2 linked regions of the Alligator mississippiensis genome follow. The protein of the gene in region 2 interacts with the protein of the main gene of each other region in a pairwise test. Links are inferred from orthologs where the notes say so. Each region holds a gene or a part of one and is shown on either strand. Other genes may lie near its edges.

Region 1 (7,588 bases), on a different chromosome or scaffold from region 2:
AGTGACCGCCCAATGGAAGTCAACAATGTCATGCAACCATCTCAACCAGCCACCAATAGCTGACCACAGTGACCACCCAACATGTCCCCCAGCCAATGGAAGAGTCCATGGGGGCAACCCATTGGCCAATGAGCCAACATCTGGCCCCAGCGACTGCCCAAGGGAAGTCAATAATGCCACTCAACCCTCATTACCAGCCAGTGAGTTGCATAGCCCCACCCCTTCTGCTGGTCCACCAATGGGTGAGTCACTTCTCTCAGCCAATCAGGGTGGCCCAGAGCATGCCCTTGGGTCCCACTAACATGGGGTACCTGACCCACCTGCCCACAGAAGACACAACCTGGGGGTCTGTGGGGAGTCATGACCCCTGTGGCCCCACCCCACCCTGCCCAGCTCACCTTTGCCCAGGTACCGGCTCTTGTCCCCGTCGCGCAGCTCCAGCGCCTCATAGATGCCCGTGGAGGCGCCACTGGGCACCGCGGCCCGGAACCGCCCTGGGGGCAAAGGGCATGTGGGTGCCCGGTGCCCCTCACTCCCAACCTGCAGCCCCTGCCCCTCAGCTCTGCTGATGCCCTTCACTTCTGACCCATTGCCCCCCAGTGCCTCTCACTTCTGACCCGCAAGCCCCAGGCCCCCACTCACCCTTGGCTGTGTGCAGGTCGACTTCCACCGTGGGGTTCCCACGGGAGTCCAGGATCTCACGGGCATGGATCTTCTGGATGGACATGGCCTGTGGAGTGGGGGGGAGGGGGAGCGGGAGAACAGGAGGGTGGCTGGAGGGAACCCAGGTGTCCTGGCTCCAAGCCCCCCTGCTCCAAGCCCCCCCAGGTCCCAGCCCCCTCCCCTCCCAGAGAACCCAGGTGTCTGGGCACCCAGCTGGGCCTACCAAGGCCCATCCTGGGGAATGCAGGTGTCCGGGCTGTAGTATCCAAGGAAGGGGCTGGGCCCTGTGCCACCTGCCCCCCCCTCAGCCAAGGCCCATCCTGGGGAATGCAGGTGTCCAGGCTGTAGGACCCAAGGAAGGGGATGGGCCCTGTGCCCCCCCCCCCCTCCAGCCTGGGAGCCACTGCCAGGGATAAAAATAGCACTGGGTGGGAGGCAAAGGTCAAAGCTTCATGGAAGGTGGGGGGGCAGGAACCCACAGAGACCCCTGGCACACTTCACTCCCAACCCTGTCCCTCCTGCCCCACCAGTGCCCCTCACTCCCAGCTCCCAGCCCTTGGCCCCCCAGTGCCCGTCACTCCCAACCTGCACCCCCTGCCCCCCAGTCCAGCCAGTGCCCCTCACTTCTGACCTGCAGCCCCTGCCCCCCCCCAGCCCTGCCAGTGCCCCTCACTCTGGACCAGTAGCCTCTGCCCCCCTAGCCTTTCCAGTGCCCCTCACTCCCAAGCCGCAGTCTCTGCTCCCCCAGCCCTGCCTGTGTCCCTCATTCCCAAACTACAGCCCCACTCACTGGGGTGTCTCCGGGTCGGGCTGACGGGTGCTGGGGCCAGGGCTGTCATGTCCTTTATATGGCCCCACACATCTCCCCGCCCCCCCCGGTGCCATGACACTGAGACGGGCCTTGGCACCCACTCTGGAACTTGGCCCCTCCCCACCTGGCAAGGGGGATGGGGGGGTGAACCCAGGCATCCAGCTTCAAGGCTGCGGCCCCCCCACAGCAGGGGAAGAACCCAAGCATCCAGACTGCTGGATTCTCTGCACCTTCCCCACCTGCCAACCCTCCCTGGGCACCTGGGTTCTGCGCCCCCCCAGCGAGGTCTCGGGCACCTGGGCTCTATGTCTGCAGGTTGGTCCTGGGCACCTGGGTTCTCTGGGTTTCCCGCCCCATCCAGACGCCTGGGATCTTATGTGGGTCTTGGACACCTGGGTTCTCTGGGGGGCCCAGACACCTGGGGTTTGGATGTATGCAGGTCCTGGATGCCTGAGTTCTCTGTGGCCCCCCAACCTGGCTCCCTATGTGACCCCAGGTCCAGGCCCCTGACACCTGGGTTCTCTGTGCCCCCCTCCAGCCCCAAAGTCTTGGGGTCTTTGTGCCCCCCCACATCCTCCCAGACACCCAGGTCCTCTGGGTGTGTGCTCTCTGGACGCCTGGGTTCCCTGTGCCCCCCCCCCCCCGGTCTATCTTTAGACCCACCCGGGACAGTAAAGGTCGGGCCCATTCCCGGGAAAGGGCAGTGGAAACCTGACCCCCAGAGTGGGGGCTGATGGGATATGGGGGGGGTGCTCCCAGGGAGAACTCAAGGCAGCCCCCATGGAGAGGTCAGGACACTTGGGTTCTCATGCGGGGTGGGGGGGGCTTTGGGGCTCAGGCATCTGGGTTCGTTGTGGGGGGAGGTAATGGTAAGAGCACGGGGCGGGAGCTCGGACACCCGGGTGGTCGGGGTCCCAGAGACGCGGGTTCTCTGGGAGTATGTGGCGGGGAAAGGTGAGAGCAGGGGGTGGGAGCTGGGGCACCGGGGTTCTCTGTAGGGAAGGGCCCTGGGGTAGCCCAGACACCTGGCTTCACTTCCAGGGGAAAGGGGGGCTCAGAGCTCGGACACCTTGCTTCTCTGGGGGGTGAGAGCAGGAGGGGCAGGGAGCCAGGCCCGGGTTGGTGGGGGGGGGGTTGGTCACGGGCCCCCTGGTGGCTGCAGGCGGGATCACTCCCTGCTGTCCCAAGGGAGCAGGGGCCCAGGGCACGATCCGGGGGTCAGTCCTGGGTCTCCCCTGGGGACCCAGGGAGGCGAGGGAGAGCCCGAGGGCGGGGCACAGTAGAGGCTCCGTGGCCTGTTTTGGGCTGTGAACCCAGGTGTCCCGGCACCCAGGCTTGCCCGGAGCTGGAGAGAACCAGGCGTGCCCCAGAGCAGGCGGGGAACCCACGCGTCCAGGCGGGGGGGGGGAGGGCGCCGCCCTGGGGCACGCGCGTGTCACGGTGTCTGGAGCCGCCCGGCGCCGCCACACGCGTGAGTCATGGCTCCGCCCCCAACGGGCCTGTCGGCTTCCCACAATGCCCTGGGGCTCCCGCCAAGCCCCCATCCTTGGGAAGCCCCCTATCCTGGGTCCTGGCATTTGCTACCCAGAATGTCCTAGGGCTCCCACCAAGCCGCCCCAAATCCTTCCCACACTGCTCTGTGCTGCGGTCCCCCCACACCCACAAGGACCTGGGGCCTGGCACTACCTACCCACAACACCCTGGGGCCTGTCTCCCCTACCCAGAGTGCCCTGGGGCTCCTAGCAAGCCCCCCAATCCTTGTTACCCACAACCCCCTGTGCCCCGGCACCGCTACCCACAATGCCCCGGGGCTCCCGCCAATTCCCCCCATCCCTTGCTACCCACAATGCCCCGGGGCCCCCTCCCCCTCCCCCTCCCCCTCCCCCCGAGGTTGCTACAGACACCGGTTGTATCACACACTTCCTGCCCGCCCCCCCGCCGGGGCCGCCGGACCCTGGGTTCTCTCGTGGGGGGGAGGACCCGGATGGGGGGAGGGGGGAGTCCACCCCGTCCGGCCCCACCCCAGAATTGGCTGCGGGGGGGGGGGTCCAGACAGGAAATGACGTCTTCCCCTCCCGCCCTGGAAAAGTTTTTGTAGCGGTAGAAAGTTTTTTTATCGGTGTTCCTCCGCCGGCAAAAGTAGTCCCCTCCCGGCAGTGACGTGTCAGGGCGGGGCCAGCCAATGGGAGCGCGCCGGGCCCGCCGGAGCCCCGCCCCCCTGTCCCAGGCAGAGAGGGGCCAGCCCCTCCTCCATGTGGGATTGCATGTGTGTGTGTGCAGTTGCACACGCGTGTGCACATGTCTGCCCCATGTAGGATTGCTCTTGTGTGTGCCATTGCACACCTGTGTACACATCTGTGCCCTCTGGGTGAGATTGGACATGGAAGTGCAGTTGCACATGTGTGTGCGCATCTGCCCCCCATGTTGGGTGTGTGTTCTGGGGGCTGCATGGTGCACAACGGAGGGGGGCACACGTGTGTTGCACACAGCACCAGGAGGCAAGCATGTTGCACGTGTGTGCATCCAGGCATGTGTGTCTCCACCCACGTGGGGCTGGCCCACACGTGCAGGTGAGCGTGTGATCTTCTTGCAGCCCTGCGGGCATCACACACAGCTCCCGTGTACATCTCGTGCACACACGTGTTCGACTTCCCGTCACAGCAGCTGGCATACAGCCGTGCACACGCGTGTGTGCATCCCCTGGCTGGGCTGGCGTGTGCTCATGCATGCCACAACTGCTCCCATCACCCCCTCCTGTGACATGCCCATCATCAAAGCCCCCCCCCCCCGAGGAACACGCAGCAGGTAAGTCTTTACACACTTGCATGTGAGCATGTGTAACACCCCTTTGGGCACACGTATCATGTAACACCCACTGGCACATGGGTACCCGTAACAATACCATAGGCATGTGTATTATGCCCCTGGGCACATGCAACACACCCATTGCGACATATGCCCATGGACACACGTATCACCCAGGGGGGCTAGTGCAACGCCCCTACAGGGTGGCAATACCCCAGTCTTTGCACCCCTCTTTGCACGGGGGGGGGAGGCACTTTGCCTTGCACAGGGAGGCACTTTGCTCTCCATCCCTTTACACGGGGGGGCCTTTACTCCCTCTCCCTTTGCACGGGGGGGCACTTTGCTCCCCGTGCTATTTGCATGGGGGGCACTTTGCTTTGCACGGGTGGGGCCCTCTCTCTGCACGGGGGGGCCCTTCGCTCCCCCTCCCTTTGCAAAGAAGTCCCGATAGCATGCGGGGGGGGGCGCGGAGGGATCCAGCCCCGCCCCGGGGGGGGGGCCCTATGTAGCCGCCGCCGCGGGGGCCCGGCCCGCACTCTGCTCCCGCCCGCCCCGCCGGGTCCTCGTGCCGTCGCCGCCCGCAGCCCCCCGGCCCGCGCCCCCCCGGCTGCAGCCATGAGCGGGTGGAGCTCCTACATCGACAGCCTCATGGCGGACGGGACGTGCCAGGACGCGGCCATCGTGGGCTACAAGGACGCCCCGTCGGTCTGGGCCGCCTCCCCCGGCAAGACCTTCATCAACATCACGGTACGGAGGGGTAGGGGCACGTGGACGGGGGGCTTTGCTGGGGGAGGGGCAGGATACAGGCTGGAGCGGGGTGTGGGTAGAAGGGGGGGCTGGCGGCTGCCAGGAGGGAAGGGCAAGGAGGGGGTGAATTGCAAACCGGGGGGGCTGCAGGCACGTGCATGGCGGGGGGAGGATGCAGCTAAAAGCGCGGCGCGTCGCGGGGGGTGGCCAGGAGGAAATGGGGGCGGGGGGATTGCAAAAACGAGAGGGTCCGGAGGCACGTGCATGGGGTGTGGGATGCATGCTGCGGGGGGGGTACAAAGGGGGGCAGTCAGGGGGCCACCAGGAGGGAGGAGGAAGGGGAGAGCTGAATTGCAAATTCGGGGGGGGGGGTTTACAGGCACGTGCGTGGGGGGCTGCTAGGCGGGGGACAAAACGTATGCCAGAGCGGGTGGGAGCCCGAGCGGTGAGGAGGGAAGGGGAAGAGGGGCTGTGTAGCAAAAACTGGGGCCCACAGGCTCATGCGAGGGGGCTGGCGGGCAGTATGTATGCCTGAGCAAGGGAGGGGGCCGGTCGCCTTGCAAAGCTGCAGGGTCCCCAGACACGTGCGTGGGGGCAGGGCAGCCCCTCACCTGGGGGGGGCAGTTTTCTGGGCATTATTTCTGGTGGGGAGGCAGCCCCCCATCTGCCCCTGGAAGGGGTTGTTCCTGGACCGGAAGTGGCCCCAAGTGGGGGAGGGGCAGCCCCCCAGGGACCATTTCCGGTCCCCCGAGGAAGCCAAAGCCACTTCCTCTTGCAGCCACCCCCCCCCCCCACTTCCTGGTTTCTCTGCAAACTCCTCCCCCTATTCCCCCCAGGAAGTGACATGAGGGTCTGGGGAGGGGGTGTCCCAAACCCCCCCCCCCCCACCCTGCTGGGGTAACATGGGGGCACTGGGGGGGCAATGGGGACAGAAAGGGCAGGAACTAGGGGCAAAGGAAGGTGTTTGGGGATGTGGGGGTCAAAGGTGTATTTGGGGGGATGTGGGGCAAAAGGGGTATTTGGGTATAAAGGGAGGTCACTTAGGGCATTAGGGGGAATGGGGGGTACTTGGGGTAAGGAGGGGGGTGTTTGGGAGTATTGGACTAAAGGGACAGTTGGGGTGTTTGGGGGTAAAGGAGGGGTACTTCGGAGTGTACTGGGGCAAGAAGCGGTGTTTGAGGTAACCAGGGTAGTTGGGGACATATAGGAGTAATGGAGGATACTGGGGGCACAGAGCGGAGTGTTTGGGGTATATGGGGCAGAGGGGGGGGGCCTGGAGGTATGGGGGGGCTGGGTGCCACAGACTAACAGGAAAAATTATCCTCCCTTCCGCCTCCAGGCCCTTAAGGAACTTCCTGCTCCCCGATTCCTGCCCTCCCTGCTCCCCACCTGGGTCTCTTGGCAGGGGTGGGGGGGCTGCCTGGTGCCAGACTGGCCCTCCCAAACACCTGGGTTCCTTGGATGGGGGGTTATGACCCTACTAGGCCTGGCTGCCCCTCCCCCCCCTGCAACTTTCAGGACACCTGGGTTCCTGGGAGGGGGGGGCACGGTGGAAAGAACCCAGGCATCCCAGCCCCCCCCACATCCCCTGGGTCCCGCCCACCTGCCCAGCTTTGACCTTTTTTGGGGGTTTCGGGCCCAATCTGCAGCTGGGTGTGGCCAGGCCCCTCCCTCCCCCCTTTCCCCCCAGGTGGAGGTTTGGGGAGCCCCCAGCTCTCCCCCTTTATGTGGGCTTGAGCCCCCCCCAGGCTGGATGCCTGAGTTCTTTCCCCAGAGCTGGGAGTTTGCTGGGAGCCGGGATGCCTGGGTTCTTGTTCCTGCCTCCCACTCCCACCCCCAACCCCGGTGGAGCCCAGATGCCTGGGTTCTTTCACTTTCTCTTAATGCTGAAATATGCCCCAAATGCAGCCTCTCCTGCTGCCCCCCCCCCCAGGTGTTAGGGGAATGGGGGCAGAGAATAGGGGACTTGTTTGGGCCCAGCTGTTCAGCTCCAGCTGTTGTAGTCCTGCTCTCTTTCCTCCTTCCCCCCCCATGACCTCAGCAGCTGGGGGGGAGGGGCAGCCCGGAGGCCTGGGTTCCCTCCCCAGCACTGGGTACCTGGACACCTAGGTCTGCCGTTGGCACTGGGTGGGGCCTGGGTTCTTTCCCTGGCTGGGATGCCTGGCTTCCACCCTTGCCTCTGGGTGGGGCCCGCATGCCTGGCTCTCCATGGGGGGGGGGGGGGGGCGGGGAGGAGCCCGGGCACTTGAGTTCTTGGTGCGTGAGAGCAGCGGGGGGATCCGGGCACCCAGGGCCCATGGCTGACCCCGCTTCCCCCTCCCGCAGCCGGCTGAGGTGAATGTGCTGGTGGGACCAGACCGGGCGTCACTGCTGGTGAACGGGCTAACGCTGGGGGGGCAGAAGTGCTCCGTGATCCGCGACAGTCTCTTGGTGGATGGTGAATTCACCATGGACCTGCGCACCAAGAGCCCCGGCGGCCCCACCTTCAACGTCACTGTTGCCACCACCCACAAGAGTGAGCCTGGACTGCGGGGTGGGAGTTGAGGGGCAGCGGGGTGGGAC
Region 2 (7,467 bases):
GGCTCCTTTCCCCTCCTGGGGGCCAGAGGGGCCCACGGCCTAGACCCCCGAAACCCGCACCCCCGAGGCCCAGGAGCACAGGACACATATCTTCATGAATTCATTTTATTCAGTAACTCAGTGTAGTTAGGGCCTCGCCCGCCCCCACCCGGAGACCGGGCAGCTGGAGGGGGGGCGGGAGCCGGAAGTGTTGCTCACCAGGGGGAGGGGGAGGGGGGGAGGGGCCGCCCGGAGGCCGGGGTTCTTGTGCCCGCTGGTCTCTGCCCCAGTCGGGTCCAGGTGAATATAGTTGCAGCCCAAGTTGGGAAGGGGATGGGGGAGGGGCGGGGGGCAGGCAGGGTGGAGCCGCAGCCTAGTAGGCATGGTTGGAAACGAAGAGAGACTCCTTGGAGGCAGCACCGGCCTGGCCGCTGCCGGCGTACTTGCCCTGGCAGGCGAGGCTGTTGGCCTGCAGAGAGACGGACAGACAAGACAGGTCAGAGCAGCACAAAAAACCCAGCGTCCAGGCTCCCCTCCCCCACCCCCTCTGCAAGTCAGAGGTCACTCTCCCCCCGCCGCGGGCCAGGTCAGTACGCACCAGAGCGCGCTTGACGTACTCCTCCTGGGCCGCCTTGGTGTTCTCCTTCTTGCCGCCCCAGGCCTTGAGGGCTGAAGCCTGCAGCGCCCGCCCGTAGGAGAAGGTCAGGGCCCAGGGCTTGTGCAGGGGGCACTTGTTGATGGCATTGAGGTTCAGAGACGCCTCCTCCTCGCTCTGCCCCCCGGACAGGAAGGTGATACCTGTGAAGGGGGAGGGAGTCAGTGCCGGCGTGACACAGTGCTCGCGGGGTTAACAGGCTGGGCTGGAGCAGGGGACCCTGGGCATAGGCACAGCACCCAGGGGGTTAATGGGCAAGGGGGTGGAGTCAAGGAGATGGTGGAGCCTCCCCTACCCTGGCTTGCATGCCCAGAGCATGGCTGTCAGGGGTGAGATAGGGAGCAGGGCCACAGGGGGTGAAGCCAGGGGCAGGCCCAGGTCTCACCGGGCACAGCAGGTGGCACGGTGCGGCGCAGCGCGGTGATGGTAGCCATGGCGATCTCCTCATGGCTGTACTTGGTGGTGCAGGCGTGCCCAGGTGTCACCATGTTGGGCTTCAGCAGTGACCCCTCCAGGTAGACATGGTGGTCACTCAGCGCCTTGTACACAGCCGCCAGCACCTGGGGGGGGGCAGGACTGGTCAGCACACCACCCACATCCACTGCTGCATCTTCCCTCCAGCTCCTCCAAGAGGCGGGGCTCCTTCTGGCCACACCCCCCAAAGATCTCCCACCTCCCAGCCTCTGGTAAGTGCCCCCTCACTGCAGTGACCCCTCTCACCTTCTCGGTGACGTGCTGGCAGCGCTTCAGGTCATGGTCGCCATCGGGGAGGATCTCGGGCTCCACGATGGGCACAATGCCGTTCTAGAAGGACATGGGGGGAGGTCGGGATGAGCCTGTTAGCCCTGACCCCAACCCCCAGCCCCACCTACAGCCCCTCTAGCCCCACCTGCTGGCAGATGCTGCCTGTGCCCTTCTGGCTCTGCCCTCAGTCTTAGCCCCACCCCCTGCTAGCTCCTGGGAGAGGAAGTAGCCCTGCCCCCAGCCCTGCCCCACGGCCACCTGCTGGCAGATGCTGGCGTAGCGGGCCAGCACATTGGCATTCTCCAGGATGGCGAGGCGTGAGGGCGTGTGGGGCCCGATCTTGAGCACGCAGCGCCACTTGGCGAAGTCGGCCCCATCCTTCTTGTACTGGGCACAGCGCTCAGAAAGCCCGTCCAGGCCTGGGGAGGGGGATGAGGCTCAGGACCCAGGCATTTGGGGAAAACCCCGCAGACATGCCTGTCCTGCCAGATGCAACCACTCCCAGCCCCGAGACCCTGGTGTCCAGGCACTCACCTTGGGTGGTGGTCTCCCCATCGGTCCCGGCCAGGGCCACCACGCCCTTGTCCACCTGCGGTGGGGGAGAGGGAACCTCATCAGTACTGCCCCGACCCCTGGCCTCCACTCCTCACTCCTGCACCCCAACTACCAGGTTCAAGGTAAAAGCCTCCTGAGACCTCCAACCCCGGCCCCCTCCCCCCCCCCCAATAGTCCCCATGACCACCTTGCCCACCCCCCCGGGGGCCTACCTTGATACCAACAACGCCGCCCTTGGCCTTGATGACCTGGGGGAAGGTGCGCCCATCGTCGGCCTTCTGGTAGAGGGTCTCGTGGAAGAGGATGACGCCGCCAATGCAGGGATCCACGCGCGCGTCGGCCGTGAAGAGCAGCTGCCGGTACCAGCGCCGGTTCTCCTCGGTGTTCTCTGCCCCGATGGAGCTCAGGCGCTTGGCGATGCTGCCTGCAGGGGGGCGGGTGGGGGTTAACACAGGGGGCCCTGCAGTGCCCCGTGCCTCCCACTCCCGCCCCGCAGCCCCCCCCCCCCGTGCCCCACACTCCCGCCCCGCAGCCCCCCCCCCGTGCCCTGCACTCCCGCCCCGCACCGGTGGACTCATCGGCGGCCAGGATGCCCTTGCCGGGCGCCACGATGCGGTGGGCGATGTCCGCCAGCTCCTTCTTCTGCTCGGGCGTCAGGGCCGGGTGCGGGTGCGGCATCTTGGCGGCTGCGGGAGCGCAGGGGTTACGCGCGGGACGTGCGGCGCGCGGCCTTCCGCATGGCCGCTTCCGGCCCCCCCTGGGCGGGACCCGGGCGTCGGGGGGGGGTCGTGGCCGCGGGTGGGGGCAAGTGTCCGGGGGGGTCGTGTGCCCGGGGCGCGGGCGGGACCGAGGGGGCCGGGGCGGGAGGGGGGGCGATGGCAGCCCCCGGGCCCGCGTGCCCGAGCTCCGCGCGGCGGTGCCGGGAGTCAAGGTCGCTCCAAGGGCGGGGGGGGCAGGGAGCCAGGCGCCCGGCCCAGCAGCGCCCCCCCGGCGCTTCCCCCCACCCCGACGCCCCCCCCCCGGCCCGAAGCCCCCCCGGCCCGACGCCCCCCCCAAGCCAACCTGCGGCAGCGGCGGCGGCGGGATCGACTGCGCTGCCGCGTGGGGCTGCGGCGGGCTAGGGGCTGGGGGCGGGGCGCCGCGCCGACGTCACGCGCGGGCGCGGCCGGGGGGCCACGCCCCTGCTGCCCCCGGGGCTGCCCTGGGGCTCCCCCACGCCGTGCCCCGCCCGCGCAGTGACGTCCCGGGGGCGGGGCCTGGGAGGCTCTGGGGTTGCGTCACTGCACCCCCCGGCCCGCCGCGCGTGGGTTTCGCGCTGACCTTTGCGGGGGAAACCCGATCCCCGCCAAGGGCGCCGCGGGGCCCGCGCTCGCGGCCTGCCCCCGCCGCCCCGGCCCCGTGCCCCCGCCGCCCCGCAACGCCCCCACCTACAGCCCCGCTATGGCGCCTGCCCCGCGGCCCCAGGCCGCCCCGGCGCTGCCCCACGTCCGCCCCAACCCCCCTGGACACCGCCCCAGCGCCCTGCAGACAGGGCCCTCCTGCCCGCCCCCCCGTGCCCGAGCACGAGCCCGAGCCCCGCCGTGGGCCGCCCCTCACCTGGCGGGCGGGCGGGCGGGGCAGGGTCTGGTGGCAGTGCCGGGCGGCCGGTGCGGGGGCTGCGGGCGACCCCCTTATATGAGGCCGGGCGGAGGGGGCGGGGCCGCCCGGGGGGGCTCTGACCTTCTCGGCGACCCCTGCCCTTTCACAGCTGCCGCTAAAAATAGCCCCGGGAGAAACTCGACGCCCCTGACATTCAGGGGGGCGGCTCGTGCACAGCCCGCGGCGGGCGGGCGGGCGGGCTGCGTGGGGCGGCCGGGGAAGCACGGCCTTCCCCACGGGCCGGGGCAGCCCGGGAGCGGGCGGCGCGCAGGCCCCCGCGGCACGGCAAGCCGGGCGCTGGTGGAGGACCCGGCGGCCGGTCGCACAGGCGGCGCTTCCCGGGACGGGCGACTGCTTCTCCGGCGGCGGGCGGCGCTGCTCCCCGTCACCCCCCGGCCGCGGTTGAGCCAGGCGCCGGCTTCCAAGTGCGGCCAAGCCGCGCGGGGGAGGTGGTAGCCGTGCTGGCTAAGGACGGGCAGACGAGGGTCTCTGCGTGAATCCCGTGTCTTTCCTTAGACCCACTTAAATAGCTGGAAGAACTTTAAAGCCAGCTTCCGGGCTTAAAAGCCCTTCCTCAGGCCGGCACACGTGCAGATCTTCCTCAGCCTGACCAAGAGTTGTTAAACCCGAAAGCTTGCTTACAAGTTTTTCCAACTATTTAAGTGGGTCTAATGAAAGATGTCAGATCCACGCAGAGAACCTGGTCTTCCAAGCTGTAATACTCTTATTAATATAAATATACGCGAGGAGGAAAGGGGCCGAGCAAGAGCAGCCCCCCAGCGCTGTGCAGCGGGGGTAGTTCAGCGCCCCTTGCTAGTCCTTTACCCGCTGCCCGTAATGTGTGCGCTCCCGGGGTGCCCGCGGGGTCCCAGCACCTCGGCATCGCCACAATGGCAAGTCTGCAAAGCGTTGAGTTTGCTGCCCCTACCCTATGACTTCATTGAACATTTCTCTTTTCCAACCTTGCCAGAGGATAGTCCAGGCGGACGCCCCCGAGCAACATATCCACCGGGCCCGGTTTCATGTCTCCTTTCCTCCCCCCCTCAGAACAGCGCAGCAAGCCTCCGACCAACGAAGGAGAGAACAAAGAAGAACCAGCGTACAGGTACTTTTTAGATTTTCTATAGCTATTTTGTATAGCTAAAGTTTTATAGATTGCTATAGATAGATAGCTTTAGTATGATTATTTATATATAATTCTCCGTACTTTAATTATTCTCTTTTTTAATTTAAATACTTTTTCTTAGTTTGTCTCTTAATTTTGATAAAATATACTGCATTTTCTGTTAATAAAAGTCTTGCAATTTTTTTTGTCCGTGTATATGCGTGTCCTAGGCAGACTGGCATGGCTAATCAGGCCTGTGTGGGGTGGGTTGCCAGACCTGAGGAGCATGCCTGGGGCTGCTTTGTTGGGTGGGGCCGTAGATGGAGTCATGGCATTACTGGAAAGACTTGCAGGGTGGGCTGTTATTGGTGGTCAAATGCTTGTTCCCCCTCCCCCCCAGCCCAATGTACAAGGATCCTGGCAAGCCTGTGGGTGAAGCCGGCATCCTCCCCCCACCACCCCAGCCAGAGGGGCAAGCAGGCATGCGTGGACCGTTAATTAACATATGATCGAGGGCGATTAGCAACTCTTTCTTGTATTATACTGCATGATCTCTGGCATCAATGACGCATGCCCAGAGGCTGGAGGGGCACGGCCACTGCCTGCAGGTGGCAGGGGCATGGTGGCAGGGAGCTCCCACAGGTGGCCGCGGTGGTGATGGCAGTGGAGGGGTGGGGGTGAGTGGTGACCAGCAGTCAGCGATCACTTGCAGATGCTGGTGGCGGCCAACAGTGATCCACGAGCACCCACAGACGCTGCCGGTGGTGTCGACAGCAAGGGTTCAGGGGGCGCACGTGCACCCTCTACGCGTGGCCAATGGTCCCTTGAGGGGGTGTCTCCAGAACCTGGAACACCTTCAAACAGTGTTTCTTCTGCCCATCCATCCCCCTGCTCCCGCTCCACAGCTGACTGCCGGAGCCAGGTAGTGAAAGGTGTTGTGGAGCAACCCATGATGGGACCTTCTCTGTTGTTCTGGTCCTACCGCCACCAGGGGTAGTGTATGTGCTGCCCCCACCACGCTCCTGGTCCATCCGGCACCAGCGCCCCCGCCCCTGCCCGCTGCTGCTGCGCCCACCCCTGTTGCAAGGAAAATCTAATCTGGCCATGTTAAGTTGACCAAACTCCCAGAAGTCTCTTCGAGATGATCCAGTTAAGAATTGGCAATGATTGTGGCCTACTGTTAACCCCAGTATAGCGAATGCCAGGGAACATCTGGAAGAACAGAACCCTAAATCAGGATGAGAACGTGGCGAGTGTTGCCCCCGGCTTCCTTTCACCAGAGACCCCCAAGGAGCGACATGGCCCCTCGTCCGATTTGGTACCAAGTGAACTGTGTTAGTAACCCACAGGCTCATGACAAGTATTCTTCCCTGTAATAGGATCTGGGAAGCAGTTCCTTAGATGGTACAACAGCGACCTTCGGTGGTATCGGCCTCAGACCCTCTGGCGGGCGTGTGGGATGTTAGTGTCTGGATTCCTTGTTACTCCAAGCAAGAAGTCCAAGGTTGCTCCCATCTCCCCAGGGTGGCAACACACACACACACAAGTCTCTGTCCACTACTTTTGTAGCTTGCTCATTTCAAACCGTCCAGTCCTCAAGTTTCTTCCCTCATCTTTGTAGATAAGGTCTTCTGCTATACTTGCTAGTTTTCCTTTGTATTGGGATGGTTTGTTCCTGCTCCCTCAGTTAGGTTTCTTTAAAGTATAGCCAGCTCTCCTGGACTCCTTTCCCCCCAGACTAGCCTCCAGTGGATCCTGCCCCTCTGGCTGTGGTGGTGGGGCGAGGATGCCGGCTTCACCCACAGGCTTGGGCTGGGCAGGAGGGGGGAACAATCCCATTCTGTTTTTTGGTTTCCTTTCCTTTTAGGGAAACTACTGTACCTGGTTAACCCACTGCACCAATCACAGCACTCACTTTTCCCAGTGCCATATAAGGCACTCTGTACAAGTTAATTGCTTAGTTCCAGGAAGGCCTAAAGTTATGCTAAGAGCCTGAGCATAACTCAGTTTGCCCGTTACAGTGACCATTGGGCCTAATTAGTGTGGGAACAGGGAAATATTCCAGGTAAGTCTGTGCTATTATGAAGCTTCCAAAATATCATATAATGAGCTGGGCTAGCATTGATGATGCTGACATCACTAAAGGGTTAAATAGCCTAAGCAAGTGAAATCACCGTTCACTGTCGGCGGTCTGATTCTCCTGCGTGGATTTCTAAGGGAAGACCAAGCAATCGGACTTGGAACAACGGCAACCCGTGAAGCTCGCCCGGCGCGGCCGACTGGGAGCACCGCCTGGGTACCAGCTGTAGCCGGACTGTGATGCGGTGGAGTCACCTTAACACGCTCAGTCTTTGGTAACTGCCTGCTTATATCCTGGCAGTCTCAGTCAAGTTGACTACCTGTATTCTGGCAACCCCAGTGGATGAATTGCTTTGTGTTTAATGGATCGTTTTTTTCAGTCAATTAAGCTTCTGACTGATAATTGGACGAGTGCCGGTCGTTAATTGCATAGTTCTCCTCGCCCCCAGACAAGCAGGGCTCCAGTTTCAGCCCAATAAGCCCAACGCTGAGCATGGAGCACAGCAGCATCTCCAGAATAGTAAGTTTGTAAGAGTGCTAGCCCTGAACACCTCAATATTTCAAACCTTCCTGTTTCTTATAGTTCATATTCCCCTTCCAGTACCTGTTCCCCCGCCCGCTGCGCCCACCACCGCGGTGCTAAGCACTGCCCAGCACAGCAGCATCAGGAAAATGGTACATTTCCAACTTTCTGTTGTCTGGCATCTATCTA

The links.
Region 1: the proteins of ALDOA (region 2) and ENO3 interact in a two-hybrid assay, tested with the Homo sapiens proteins (2 studies listed by BioGRID and IntAct, with this or other methods). The link is inferred for Alligator mississippiensis from reciprocal best matches to the Homo sapiens genes ALDOA and ENO3.

Annotation. Positions count from the first base shown.
Region 1 is NC_081838.1:23,776,084-23,783,671, forward strand, and holds the start of ENO3 (beta-enolase), read right to left. Parts: upstream 3,184-7,588; 5' UTR 3,165-3,183; intron 1,534-3,164; exon of another isoform or gene 1,454-1,533; intron 731-1,453; 5' UTR 728-730; coding exon 643-727; intron 495-642; coding exon 399-494; intron 1-398. Other genes in the region: PFN1 (profilin-1), read left to right, coding at 4,895-5,026, 7,352-7,541. UniProt on the Homo sapiens protein: Glycolytic enzyme that catalyzes the conversion of 2-phosphoglycerate to phosphoenolpyruvate. Appears to have a function in striated muscle development and regeneration.
Region 2 is NC_081830.1:234,141-241,607, forward strand, and holds ALDOA (fructose-bisphosphate aldolase A), read right to left. Parts: upstream 3,099-7,467; 5' UTR 2,996-3,098; intron 2,620-2,995; 5' UTR 2,612-2,619; coding exon 2,500-2,611; intron 2,358-2,499; coding exon 2,146-2,357; intron 1,968-2,145; coding exon 1,913-1,967; intron 1,798-1,912; coding exon 1,637-1,797; intron 1,439-1,636; coding exon 1,355-1,438; intron 1,195-1,354; coding exon 1,020-1,194; intron 778-1,019; coding exon 578-777; intron 449-577; coding exon 353-448; 3' UTR 92-352; downstream 1-91. UniProt on the Homo sapiens protein: Catalyzes the reversible conversion of beta-D-fructose 1,6-bisphosphate (FBP) into two triose phosphate and plays a key role in glycolysis and gluconeogenesis. In addition, may also function as scaffolding protein.